Drosophila melanogaster: one gene and its partners. The protein of the gene in region 2 interacts with the protein of the main gene of each other region in a pairwise test. Each region holds a gene or a part of one and is shown on either strand. Other genes may lie near its edges.

What was found. The genes of interacting proteins can lie anywhere in the genome.
Region 1: the proteins of CG10433 (region 2) and CG12470 interact in a two-hybrid assay, tested with the Drosophila melanogaster proteins (one large-scale study listed by BioGRID).
Region 3: the proteins of CG10433 (region 2) and opa interact in a two-hybrid assay, tested with the Drosophila melanogaster proteins (one large-scale study listed by BioGRID).

Annotation. Positions count from the first base shown.
Region 1 is NC_004354.4:305,822-309,485, reverse strand, and holds CG12470 (uncharacterized protein), read right to left. Parts: upstream 1,803-3,664; 5' UTR 1,594-1,802; intron 1,397-1,593; 5' UTR 1,279-1,396; coding exon 691-1,278; 3' UTR 551-690; downstream 1-550.
Region 2 is NT_033778.4:21,605,156-21,610,105, reverse strand, and holds CG10433 (uncharacterized protein), read left to right. Parts: upstream 1-1,980; 5' UTR 1,981-2,595; intron 2,596-2,763; 5' UTR 2,764-3,313; coding exon 3,314-3,425; intron 3,426-3,488; coding exon 3,489-3,638; intron 3,639-3,745; coding exon of another isoform or gene 3,746-3,780; exon of another isoform or gene 3,781-3,912; coding exon 3,913-4,034; 3' UTR 4,035-4,430; downstream 4,431-4,950. Other genes in the region: CG15673 (uncharacterized protein), read left to right, coding at 148-327, 1,040-1,452.
Region 3 is NT_033777.3:4,851,152-4,855,862, forward strand, and holds the start of opa (odd paired), read left to right. Parts: upstream 1-1,661; 5' UTR 1,662-1,954; coding exon 1,955-2,903; intron 2,904-4,711. UniProt on the Drosophila melanogaster protein: Transcription factor essential for parasegmental subdivision of the embryo. It is involved in the activation of wingless (wg) in odd parasegments.

The sequences.
Region 1 (3,664 bases), on a different chromosome or scaffold from region 2:
CAAATATCGTGTGGCCGGCGCTTGTTTGGCACTTTATTGCAAATGCTTTGCGGTTTTCGCAATCCATGGGCCTCCAAAAATTGACCCCTTACTTGGAAGGTTCACCTTGTTTCTATTGGGTTTCTTCTTTTTTCATTTTGTAGCAAGCAATAATAATTTGAGGGATTTGTTGTGCACGTTAAGCTGGAATCCTCCGCTTCATTCTTTTGAGCCGAATATTAGCAAAATGATGCACATGCATAATTTCCATACCACTCAAATGAATGGAATTAATCGAACGCTAATCGACTTGGAATCTGTACTCTAATTGACAAAATTCTCACACCCTGTAAGTCTCTAATTTTTGATATTATATTTACGATTTGTATTTTATCCACAGTAATATTGCAATAATTTATGTCGACTATTGTTATTTAACTTCTTTTGATCGTACGCTAACCTCAACTTTCCCAGCAAAACTCTACAAAAGGATTAACTTCGACATGCAAAATAAACGCTTTGGTATATCGCTATCACCGCTATTGGTATTAGAGCTATGCAAATTTGTTTTAGTTGCTTTCAAAGAGATTATTATTTATTGATAAAGATTGTGCCAAAATATGTTAAATGTTTAGAGCAAAGCTTGTCGTCCAGTATTATCCTCGTTGTGTATGCGTTGCCCTCTTTTGTTAGAAATCATATGGGACCTATTTAAGCGAATCGCATGCATTTTGCCTTTTGGGTGTACGTTACAGCGCCATACTCCTCCACAATCTGATCAATGGCAATCTTGTTTAGATTCTCCAGATATAGACGCGTCTTTCGAGACTGGATAATATAACTAATAACGTCGTGCATATTATCGAAGAAAAGAAATCCAGCAGTTCCGCAGCTGAGGTCTAGATAGCGGAACCTATTAACATCGCAGGTGCATCCATCAAACAGGAAGTAAATAAAGTCATTATTGTTGTGATACCGGAAAACCACGTAGTTGCCCCAAGGGGCCATCACGAAAACCCGCTCGGCACACCGGAATCCGGCTCTCAGGAGCTTGCAAATGCTATCGTAGCATCCATTCTCAGAGCCCACCACCGCCATTGTTTCCGGAATACGAAGAAGAGCCGGGTAATGATTCGGTTGAGCCCGAAGGACATCGTGGGGTCCGCTAGACTCTGGACAAGCGTCAAGTGGTTGCATCTGCTTTGGTGGTTCCGGACACGGAGGACATGGTGGCGCTTCGATGGGAGCCACAACTGCGGCGGGCTTCTTGCCCTTCTTTCCTTTGCCCTTTTTACCCATGGTTAATCGAGTCTACGATCTCTGAAAGTCGCGCAACGCACAAATTAGAAATGCCTCTGCGTTTGCTTCCGATCACTTGAAAATAGTTAACGAATCAAAGTAGCATATATCCTGACGTCTGAAATACGCATTTAAAAAAAAAAAATATTAATTCTTAAGTTAACCCCAACCAAATACTCAGTAAACACTGTCCCACACATATAGAATTACGACTTCCAATTGTGTGCGTATGTCATGTGAAACCAAATGCAATTCGGAAATGGGGAAAAAATTTCAGTAATATTCGGAATATGCCGAGCTTCCAATAAGACTCACCAACTAGCTAAACACGATTTGATTTTGGTACACACACCGTTCTCTTGTATTCCTAATTTTAAGTTTGGCCAAAAAAAAAATTTTGTAAATCTGGTCGAGAGCGAAGTTAAATTTTGTACAGTTTTTTTTCCGAGATTTTTTCGTGTGCTTTGTGTGTTCACAGACAATTTTACTTCTGATGTTTTGCCATATGGCTGGTGATAGCCAAGTCCAAATACTGACAGTTTCAGCAAAGCAACGTGATCTAAAAAAAAGTAAGAAAGCCATTCTATTTAATAAACCAACCCAGAGTAGGCTACGTTTGGTGCTCGTAAACAGCTTAATGCATATATAATTGCCAGTTCTTATTTTATTCAATTATCGTTGTATCACAACTTAAGGGACAACTAAATCTACTACTTTCCTTTATCTGCTGGAAGAAGAAAAATATGGAAATATTAAAAAAAATATCTGATACGATAAAAGTACCATTGAAATACGAAAAACGCGTATTTATTAATTAAACATTATCTAAGCTTCAAATGATGGCCTTTTATGAATGGACCAGTGGAATAAATCTCAGGTTTTTGGCTAAATGATGATGACACCACCATTATAATCGCAACCATACTAACCTAATGGGTTACATTTTATGGCTCACAGCGGTATCAAACGAATACGAATCCAAAAGAAAACACTCCTTCGATTATTGCTTCATCAAAAAGAAATTCTCAGCTAATGGGGTAACCCAACCTGTCATGCCGGCAAACGTGAGTCGGCAGGTTTAGGATACCCATATGGAGGAAGATATCGCTCTCTCCCACTCTCTATATACAAATGTGTGCAATCTTCAATGGTATTATTTAATCAGTTGCTTTAATGTGGGATGATTAGATAAGTACTAGAAATAAGATTCATTTACCGCATAAGTACTTTAACCTACATACAGTTTAACCTTTATACAGTTCAAATTATACTTCTTATACCCGTTACTTGCAGACTAAAAGAGTATACTAGATTCGTTGAAAATGTATGTAACAAGTAGAAAGAAGCGTTTCCGACCATATAAAGTTTATATATTCTTGATCAGTATCAATAGCCCAGTCGATCTGGCACTGTCCGTCTGTCCGGCCGTATAACGTCGACATCTCAGGAATTATAAAAGCTGGAAGGTTTATATTAAGCATACATATTCTAGAGACAGAACCAGCGCAAGTTTGTTGAAATATTACCACGCCCACTCTAAGGCCCCCAAACCCCCCAAAACTGCCACGCCGACACATTTGAAAATTTAATTTTGTAAATCTATCGATATGTTATCTACATATATCCAACTCCAACGCACTTCCTCTAGCGGAGTAGTAACACGTATCTGTAAGCCGACAAGATCGACTGAATCGTTTTCTCCTTGTAAATTCACATGGATATGTTGCCTTATACAGATGTCCAAGTCCTTCTTAAAAAAAAAAACGGCATGTTAAAAACGTAAAAAAGTACATGCTCATAAAATTGAGCTTTTTATCATAAAATAAAGATTTTTAGCTTTAAGCCGCGAAAGCTTAGTTTGGAGTACTTAAGCTTTAAGGTGCTGAATAAGTTTGCAGAGGAGAAATTGCGCATAATTTATCTCAGAGAGCGGAGTTATTTAGCACCTCTCCGGTAGCCTTCCCTTTCTTTTTTTATGACTGAAATTAATCTTCATTCACTGCAGGAATATAACAAATGGTTTGCTGATTGTTTACACATGGGCTATCCTGCAGTTGTATCGGTCAAAATAAAATACAGCAATAAAATAGAGCAATCGAAATTTTGATAACTGTGGTACCAAAGTGCAACAACCTAAAAGTCGACGCCAACGAGTCTAGGGCAAACAAAAAATAAGAACAAGGTCCAAGGCATTGGGTCAAAAGCCAAGTAAAAAAAACAAATAGAAGGAAGGGAGAACGTTATATACAAGAAACTCGACTATCCAATACCCATTATGATAACATAAATCAATAAATAAAATTCAGAATTATGTTTTATAAGTATGGGCAAATTAGGGCGGTGCAAAATTTGTTTGGCTAGAAATTGAATTGGATAGAAATTGACA
Region 2 (4,950 bases):
TTGATTTCCTGATACCATAATATCGCTAATACAGCTTGTCTGCTTCGCTCCGTTCCCCTCCCTTCCGCCTCATTCCGATTCAATTCGATTCGATTCGTTTCGGTGCGGTTTGGTTTGGTTCGGCGTGGCCGTTTTGTTTCCTTTCAGTAATCATCGCCAGCTCGTGCTGCGTAGACGGCCAGTCCTATCTCTTCAGCGTGGAGAACGTTCTCCACGAGTCCGCCCGCCCACTGCCCTACAACTTGACAAACGCCAACGGAACCACCGAGGTGGAATTGTTTCCCGACACCATCTCAAACAACACGCGGATTATTGTCTACAAGAACAGTGAGTATCTGAAGGATGCAATACTAAATGTGCATGAGGCATCAGACTAAGATTTTTGTGCTAGATAGAAAAAGATACTTTGAGTAAATCGTTCAATCATTTCTATTTCACTTAGGCTGTCAGCCACTCAGCCACTTATTTTTAGAGTCTTATTAATGTTAAAGAATAAATTAAATTGATTTATATCGATAAGATTTGCTACAAAACGTCACTGATTACTTTGGTAGTAGAATTGACTTGAGTACCATACAAAGTGAAAATAAACGAGATCGATTGAACAGGCCATTTCAACTGCCATAAACATTTGTAACCCTTGTAACGCTCGCCCACCGGTAATATCTTAATTTCAGTGGACCCTTGAAACCGGCAATCAACAACGATTCCCGTCTAATTACTATATACCCGCCACTAGGGTTAGCCCCTATCAATGGGGCTCATTTAAGCCATTAGCGTAGTTCGATGACGCGCAAGTATTGCAGTCGAGCAGTTTCGTCATAAAGTTTATAGCACAGACCCACAATTCGTGACTAGAAGCACAACAGCACCAACTGATAACTTGCTGCTGGGATGAAATTCTAGCAATTCTAGTTATTTCCATATAGAGTCTGGACCTTATATTTCAATTAGACTGGGGAGATTTGTCTATGCTTTGGCTGCGATATAAGCCCTATAGTAGTCACGATCAAAACTAATTAATACCTAACACTTTCAGCTGTCGTCGAGTCGCCCAACGATCTGTCCCAGACGGCAATGGATGTGATCACGATTGTGTGGTATGTGGCCACTTTCCTGGCCCTGGCCGCCTTCTTCATGCTGATGGCCTGTTCGGATCGCAGATGCCGCGACATGAGGCGTCGTCCCGCCGGAGGTCAATCCACCGAGGGTCTGAGGGCACCACCCACGCCCTCGCCATCCTACAGCGAATTTGCGCCTCCCAGCTACGATACGGTGATCAAGATGCAGCACGCGGCCAAGACGAGCGTGTTTGTGATACCGTTCAGCAACAAGGCCGGTGAATTGGGTGCACCACCGTCGGGTACGCCGCCCCCAACTTCCAACCCATTGCCAGCCGCAGTCACCTGCGATGTGATCATCGTCAATGAACTGCAGAAGTCCGCTGACTAAGCAACCGATAAGCCGACGGTGGATCCCTGGATCCGGCCTTACTATTCCGACTCTGTGATATTTGCTGTTTATGGCAAAGGGCCAAGTATTAGATGTCGTAAGATCCCCACAAAAAGACTGACAATGAAAGATATCTGTGTGCGCATATGCATTCAAATGCCAGTTCAACTGAAACTAGATGATTAAGTAATTAACTTTAATAAATCATAGCCATATCGTAAATGATTCATCCAACGGGATGTTTGCTAAATGTTTACCAAGAACTCGGCTTTCCAGTTAATCAGGGGCTTATGGGGAATATTCAAAGTTGGGGGCAAGTTATCTGGCAACTTGCTTGGCAAAAGCTTTCGAGCAAACAGATTCCGTAGACCAAAACCATTTAGTTTCGCTCGGGTGAAAGCTTTCTGCGGAAACGAATTCAAAACTGAGTACTGATAAGCGTTCGGGGGAAGCTTTTTCGTTCTGATGTTAACTTACACTTGATGCGAACGGATTGGGATTGACAAGGCCTGAAACTGAACCCCCTTCATTCAGTATCAGGTGATCTGGAGTTGAAGTGCTCGCCGTGCGTTTATCCAAGAGAAAACACTGTTTGTTTGAACACTGCGCTGGCCAAATAATGGGGCAAGTTAAGCAAACATAAATAAGGCACTTCCCCCTCCCATTGCCATTTGGATGCTCAGGGTCAGGCGTTCGGTTCATTCATTGATCGATTCCAGTGAATTTCAATTTCTTTCCAGCCGCCGTTGTTTAGATCGAGCGAAGGTAACATCTGGCCCAAAACAGACCTGTTGTTGTTTCTGGGGCACAGCCAGCACACCGCGTATGCGTAATATTTCGATTCTTCGGCGTTTGTTTACTTTCCACGCACATATTTCACACAAATTGTTTTCGAAAATTACACAAACACCGCCGACAAGAACTGAGCGCTGGCAGAGCAAGATGATAGCTAGATGTTTGTGCCAAACCAGATCGGATTGCAGTAAAATCACGTTACGCCCCGCTCAATGCGGTTCTTGTTCTTTCGCCTGCTCCGCGCCGATGGTCGTTGATTGCCCCGTTGATTGGTCGCCCGAGTTGAGCGCTTGATTGTGGGTCCATTCATTGGGCGATCTCCAGTGCACCGCGAGAAATTTCAAAGCTGTAACTATCTTTAAAAGCTAATGGTAAAAAGCATTCGATAAAAGGGTCAACGGTGCTAGTCATAACAGAAGAGCTCTCTATACTAAATCATCATTATGCATTCTGTTTCATATGCATATCACCGCTGCTGTAAAACGAATAATCTTTACATTACTATTTTTTTTCCAGTGTAGAAACGCGTTTATAGATGTTAAATATTAACCACTGATAAGTACAAGCTAATAACAACAATAATCGTAACAACGCGCTCTGGTTTTCTCCGTGTGCACTCAAGAGCGTTGCTGATTGAAGCGGATGAAGCCGAAGCCGATCGGAGTTGGTCAATTTTCTAAACTCTCTCACGGTCTTCAATTGAACGGCACTTCCTCGACTTCCTCCCGTCGCCCCCGCCCTTTCACACTCTACGTCCCAATCTTCCGCTCGCTCCGTCTCTTTCTCTTTCTCCGCGTCTAGTTGTGCAAAAACGCTCGCTCTTTCTCCCTCTCGCGCTGTTGCTCTCCCGTCTCCGTCGGCAAAGTAATTTTTCGTTGAAAAGCCTCTGTGGCGTAATTAGCTGGGATCAGTTCAACGCAAACCGCGCCATCGAGAGGAAGTGGATTACTGCTGCTGCCAAGCTGCCAGAGTGAAGTGCATTGAAAGCAGAGCGAATCAGAACGAAATTCAAAACGTATCACGCATACGCCCGGTAGTACAGCCGAATATCCCCAAATAGCCGAATATGTCGCCGAGAAGGAGCTTGCTGTGCTGCCTGCTGGTGAGCAGCATCCTAGTGCTGCACCAGGCTCAGGCCAACATCGAGACAAACGATGTGAATGACCCCAGTTACTACAGTAAGTGTGCGATGTGGATCAGGCGGCCATAGCGAACTACCACTTAACCCATTCAAATCGCAGTGCTGCAGGGTGTGCGTGTGTATCCCAATGACCGACAGTGCGTCATGGTCGGAGGACTGTGTGTCGCGGAGTCGGACTGCATCGAACCCACCTCGAACAAGGGATTGTGTCCCACGAGTGCCGGAGAGGGCGTGGAGTGCTGCTACGAACGTGAGTAGATTGCTGGCTCTCTGCTGTGTGTACCATCCTGCTTAAAACCTGCAAAAACCCCAAACAATCCCCAAAATATCCCCAAAAATCCTAAAAAACCCCATCAGTCCGATCAAACCCAACACCTGCTTCGCATCGCTAAAAATCTAACCACAATCAAATTGGCATCGTTACCGAATTACCCGAATATCGCCACTAACCCTTGACAACCCGATCCATTCTGTGTGTCCCATCGCCCTCGAAAACGTCAAACGTCATCCCATTGCCGTTGCAGTGCCGGTCAGACCAGCGCCCTGTGCGGAACACCTGGGACAGTGCATGGACCGATGCCACCAGAGGCTCCTGCGACCCGGTTCGGATTGCAAGAATGGCCAAGTCTGCTGCGTCCTGATTTAGTTATACTTAACCACACCATACACATACCCGTGCAGAGGAACAGCATCGTCAAATGATAACAAAATAGCCTCCAAGTTGGGCAAGTCAGAGTGACAATTCTTGAATACCTAAAGTTTATATTCGAGACTTCTAGAATATTCGAAAAATATTAGACAACACTAACATTAAATTGATTTGACAAAATTGAGTGCTGAGCGGATTGAAACTAATTTGGTTGTGTCATTCCTCTGTACACATACACACACACACACACCGTACATAAACATGTATTTATTTAACTATATGTATATTAATTATATTGTACGAATAATTTTGTATGACATCTTAAGAGCCCCAAATCTACCCACAATGTGAAATATTTGACTGCTTCCAATAAATGCATTGTAAATATTTTCCAAAACAAATCTCTACTCACTCGAACGGTCACGTATCTGAGGATTATGTAAGTATATGCATACGGGTATGATCAGCTGACGGCCCCCAGTTCTGAAACCCTTATCATCTGGCGGAGCTCGGCCGTCACGTGCCCCAAGTACAGTTGGGTGATCGAAGTGCCCCGAATCGGGATTGGGAATGAAAACAATAATAGCCGCATCATCGACAAACTAATTCCAGAGATGATGGGCCAGTGTGAATCACAAGATGAAGATGGCAATTGAAAACAACAGCTTATCGCTCCGCCAACATTCAATGTCAAGTTCAAAACACGAAAATCAGTTCGATCCTTGGACCGCCTTCTATAAATACAGTTTGGAATATTTTCCAAACAGTTCTCAACCGAAATAAACGAAACGACCTTGCCACGCATCGCGAACATATACCATCCACATCCATGTGCCGCGCATGCCTTGCTTTTCTGTACTACCCGATATCTGTTTGTATCTGTATCTTTCGGTTTGCATGATTTCATTGCTAA
Region 3 (4,711 bases), on a different chromosome or scaffold from region 2:
CTTCAGCCGACTGCTCCGTTTGCAGCCCATCATCTGCTCCAACCCGGCGGCTTCGTCCTCATCCTCCATCATCGATATGGAGCAATGGCTTCATTTCGAGTGACACTTGTCGCTGGAGCTCTGCGGGACTGGGTGCCTGCCAGCTCGGTGCACTTTCCGCTGCTTTATGGTCTTGCCCGTCTCCCAAAATGGCATTGGGGTCGGTATGACATTCGGACGACTATGGACTGTCGATTGCCGTCCGCTGATTGCTGATTGCCGCTGAGTTGTTTTGACAATTTAATAGCCGAACCGCTTGGCGGTGACGCTTTATGTCACAATTTGCCCCAATTAATTCATTGCGGAAATCAAGGTAATTAGCATGGAATCACATGGTCTTTTCTTGCTCTCATTCTCATTTAAACTTTACCAGGAAATATTGTTTTCTCAAACGATAAATTCAGGGCAATATATTTGATTAGAAAATACTGTTTTTGAATAAAAATTTGATTACTCAATATATATCCAAATTCAATTTGATTTTAATTATTATCGTTTTAAAAGCTTAAGCAATTTTTAATACTCTGCCAGCAATTACATATCAACCTTAAATTATCTACAGATGAGGACTAGTTCAAAACACGAATACTAAACGAAGACAATTTTGATGTTAACGACCTTCCTTTTGCATCGCTCAGTTTTTGGATTGTAAATAGAAAAAATCATATATTTTGAGAAGAGCGTCTGACTATATACATACAGCATAGTGTTATACCATATTATCACAAAGCAAATGTTTTGTATGAAAATAAATTTATACATTTTTGCCCTATGCAGGCGAAGTATCACTTCACAGTCTGCCCCAAAAGCCACTTTGCCGGGGCACTTAACACTCAGCAGAATCCAATCAAGTCGATTGATACAAGATTATGTATTGATTCGACTACTGCTTATTGAAAATTCCATAAATTAGCAAATGAAAAACAGAGCGTTTGGCGCTAATGAAATCTCGTACGTCTTTATGGCGCAACCTAAACAAAACGGCTGGAAATCTCCGATGTCCGAGCACGGAATGTGCTTAATATCATTAAAATCAATAAAATAAACAACTAATTTGATAAGCTGACAGCTGGGCTACCCGAAGTGGCGGGCTATTCGTCCGCCGTGACAATGAGGAGCGGGCTGGAAAATGCATCCCCGCGAGCTTTCAATTGGCTGCCCGTCGGTCCAATCAGCATTTGGGCCCCCTGCACAGGCGCACGCCGCACGCTGTCGGCCCACCACCCAATGGCCAACCGCAGTGGGTGTTAATTTTCGCGAAACCAGTTTGCCGAGCGAGAGGGCGCTATGGTCGGGTGGGTTCCAATTGGACTGAGTGCGCAGCCTCTGTGCTCTTCTGTCCGACTCTGGAGCATGCGAGGAGGCGGCCATTTTCTTAGAGTTGTCGCACTCGCACCCATGGCTCAGGCCTATCCGACAGAGTGGTGGCTTGTGCCGAATACACCATGGCAAGCGCAACTCACCACAGGCAGGTCATACGCCTGGCCTGCTCGCACTCGCGCTTTCGTTACCCTCTATTCATTTTACGTCGTGCATAGGTCGATCCCATTCGCACGCATGCGATCGTCGGCAGATATTTTCACGAGGCAACACAGCAGCGAGTTAGAATTTCAGGAGCATTTCAGTCCTGCTGCGCATCTTGAAACGTCAAGTCTTGGCATTCGGTTAGCGTCAAGTCTTGCTGCGATTCGAACGCCCCAGAAACGCATCGCGCGCGAGTGCATTACGTAAATAAGTATCAAGTCGCATGCGAAATATCTAAGAGCGAAATAAGCGCACAGTATATACAGCTAAGTGAGGTGACCTCAGTGCGTGATGGGCTCATTGGCCTAGCAAAGTGCGAATCGAAAACTTGTAGTTCAGTTCTTTCTGAATTAATTTTAAAAACATATAAGCGAGCAATAACACTGTAACCATGATGATGAACGCCTTCATTGAGCCGGCTCAGCACCACCTGGCCAGCTACGGGCTGCGAATGTCGCCCAACACCACCGCCAGTAACAGCAACGCGCAGCAGCAACAGCAGCAGCAACTGGAGATGACCCAACAGCAGCAGCAACAACAGCAACAACAGCAGCAGCAACAGCAACAGGATCAGGAATCCGCGGCGGCCACTGCTGCAGCCTATCAGAACTCCGGATATGGGCACTTTAACAGCTATGCCTCCCGGGACTTTTTGCTGGGCAGGAGGGAGGCCGAGTACGGTGTGGCAGGATCCGCCGGACAGGCCTCCGCCGCAGCGGATTCCATGCTCTTCTCCGGCTTTCCCGCTCAGGCCGCGGAGCTGGGCTCCGGGTTCGGACAACACCCCTTCCACAGCCACCATCACCACCATCAGATGCGAATGGGCATGGCGGATGCCTACGCCGCCGGCCACCCGTACAACCACCACGGCAACTTCCCGACGGCGGCAGTGCACCACCCGGTCGTGCACCACCCGTCCCACCACGCCATGTCCGCGATGCACCCGGCCGGAGCAGGGGCCTTCCTGCGCTACATGCGCCATCAGCCGGCCTCGTCCGCCTCCAGCGTTAAGCAGGAGATGCAGTGCCTCTGGATAGACCCCGACCAGCCGGGCCTGGTGCCCCCGGGCGGCAGGAAGACCTGCAACAAGGTATTCCACTCGATGCACGAGATCGTCACCCACCTGACCGTGGAGCACGTGGGCGGACCCGAGTGCACCACCCACGCCTGCTTCTGGGTGGGCTGCTCTCGCAACGGACGCCCTTTCAAGGCCAAGTACAAGCTGGTCAACCACATCCGCGTCCACACCGGCGAGAAACCTTTCGCCTGCCCGCACCCGGGTTGCGGCAAGGTCTTCGCCCGGAGCGAGAACCTCAAGATCCACAAGCGGACGCATACAGGTAAGTGTGGCGGTGCATTCCGCTTTATATTTAAACCATATTAAACCATTCATTAAACTAAGAAAATACTTTTATTTAGTTTTGGTTTGGCAGTCAAATTCTGTGTGTAATTATTCCTGTTTTATAAAGATCTTAATACTAATAGAAAGTCGAAGCCTTATGCAGATTTTAACCGCTTATATTTAGAATAGCACATGCTAGGTCTGCAATCTCTTAGAATTCACCTTGCGTGGGCATAACCCTTGCCCGCCTGGGCAAATCCCGGACGTTGTCGATGTGAGCGTGTTACCGACGGCAAAAGTCGTTGCAACGCCCACTACCTGGCTTAACCCGCCACTGGCCGGGCGGGTCATCTTTTATGACACCTGTAAAACCTGCGCCCAAAGCTCTTCCGCGCCCAGAAAATCCCGCAAAGATGTTGTCCTTACGGCTAGGATTACTCTACGGCTTTAGGTTGACTTCGACTTTTGGTCTTAGTATTTCCCTAAGCCTGCGACTTCTCTTGACTTTGGATTTTGACTGGCATGTATTTAACTACGTTTGGAAACTTGGTCAAATTTGTAAAGGAACTGAAAAATTTAGTTTAGCTACTCCTTTGTTTTTTATACTTTAAGCCTTGTTGTCGGCTTCAGATTTTGTATTATTTAATAATAATGGCTTACTATTACTTTGATAGCCAACCGCTCTATGCAAATTCTCAATATAATTAATTTTTCTTAAATCCATCATTAATCATGCCCATTTCAAGCATTTCTCTTTCAATTGTCTTTCAAAAATAAATTAAAATCGCTTTGCAGCTCATAGCCTGAACACTTTTGAAAAAACATAGCCATAGTTGGAGGCTTTAAAATACAATTTATGCGGTATAGTCGTGATCTATGAGAAGTCGAACTATAAAGCCAGAAACGGAGCTTAACGCAAATTAATGACTTTGATTCCAGTGGCTGTTGAACTTGTTCCATTGAAATTTATGGCTGAGCATGTAGGGCTCATTAGAAGCGGCGAAACACAGCCATTAAAATCAATTAACAAGTGGAAGTTGGGAAAGCAAACATGAAATGCGAAAACACAAAACAAAGTTTCGCATAATTGGTGAAAAGAGCGCCAATCAGGTTAATAAACTTTCCAGCAAATATCGCTTGGTCCTGGATTATCCTTGATTGACCTCAGCCTTGGCGTAATTAACTTGGAAATTGGAGGAGAAGAATGAAAATATGGCCAGCAATATTCCGCAATATCCAGCATGCTTATATTTTGTTGTTTTAATGTTGGCTTTTGGCATTTGTTGTTGCCTCTTTATTTCTATTATTTTGTAATTTGGCCTCATGATTCCAAATTGAATTAAAATAAGACGTCGGGCTTCATTATAGCTTCATCTTGTAGTTACCGCGATTATAAACTCACAAAGAAATTCATAAATCACAGAATTAGCCACACAAAAAAGCTATTTCTGTAAATCTGTTCGGACAACAGTATTTTCTTTTGCACACTCATCGAAAGGTAATTAAAATGTTTCGATTTGATTTCGAGACGCCGCCATATTGTGTTCGATTTTGGAACAATCATGTGGCATTATAATGAGTTGGTTGCTGTATGATGATATTTTTGACTAATTTCATATTTCTTTTCTCCGCCGTGATGCAGCAGAAAAGTGCATTTTAGGACCTCTGACTGATTTGTGTGTGCCTATGATTGGTTGACCTGGCTACACATTGTCGGAGATAGCCAACATATTGATTAGCTTTCAAGTGGCCGGCGCACAACTTCATTACGGATCGGGATCGAGCTGGGATCGGTCTGGTATCTGG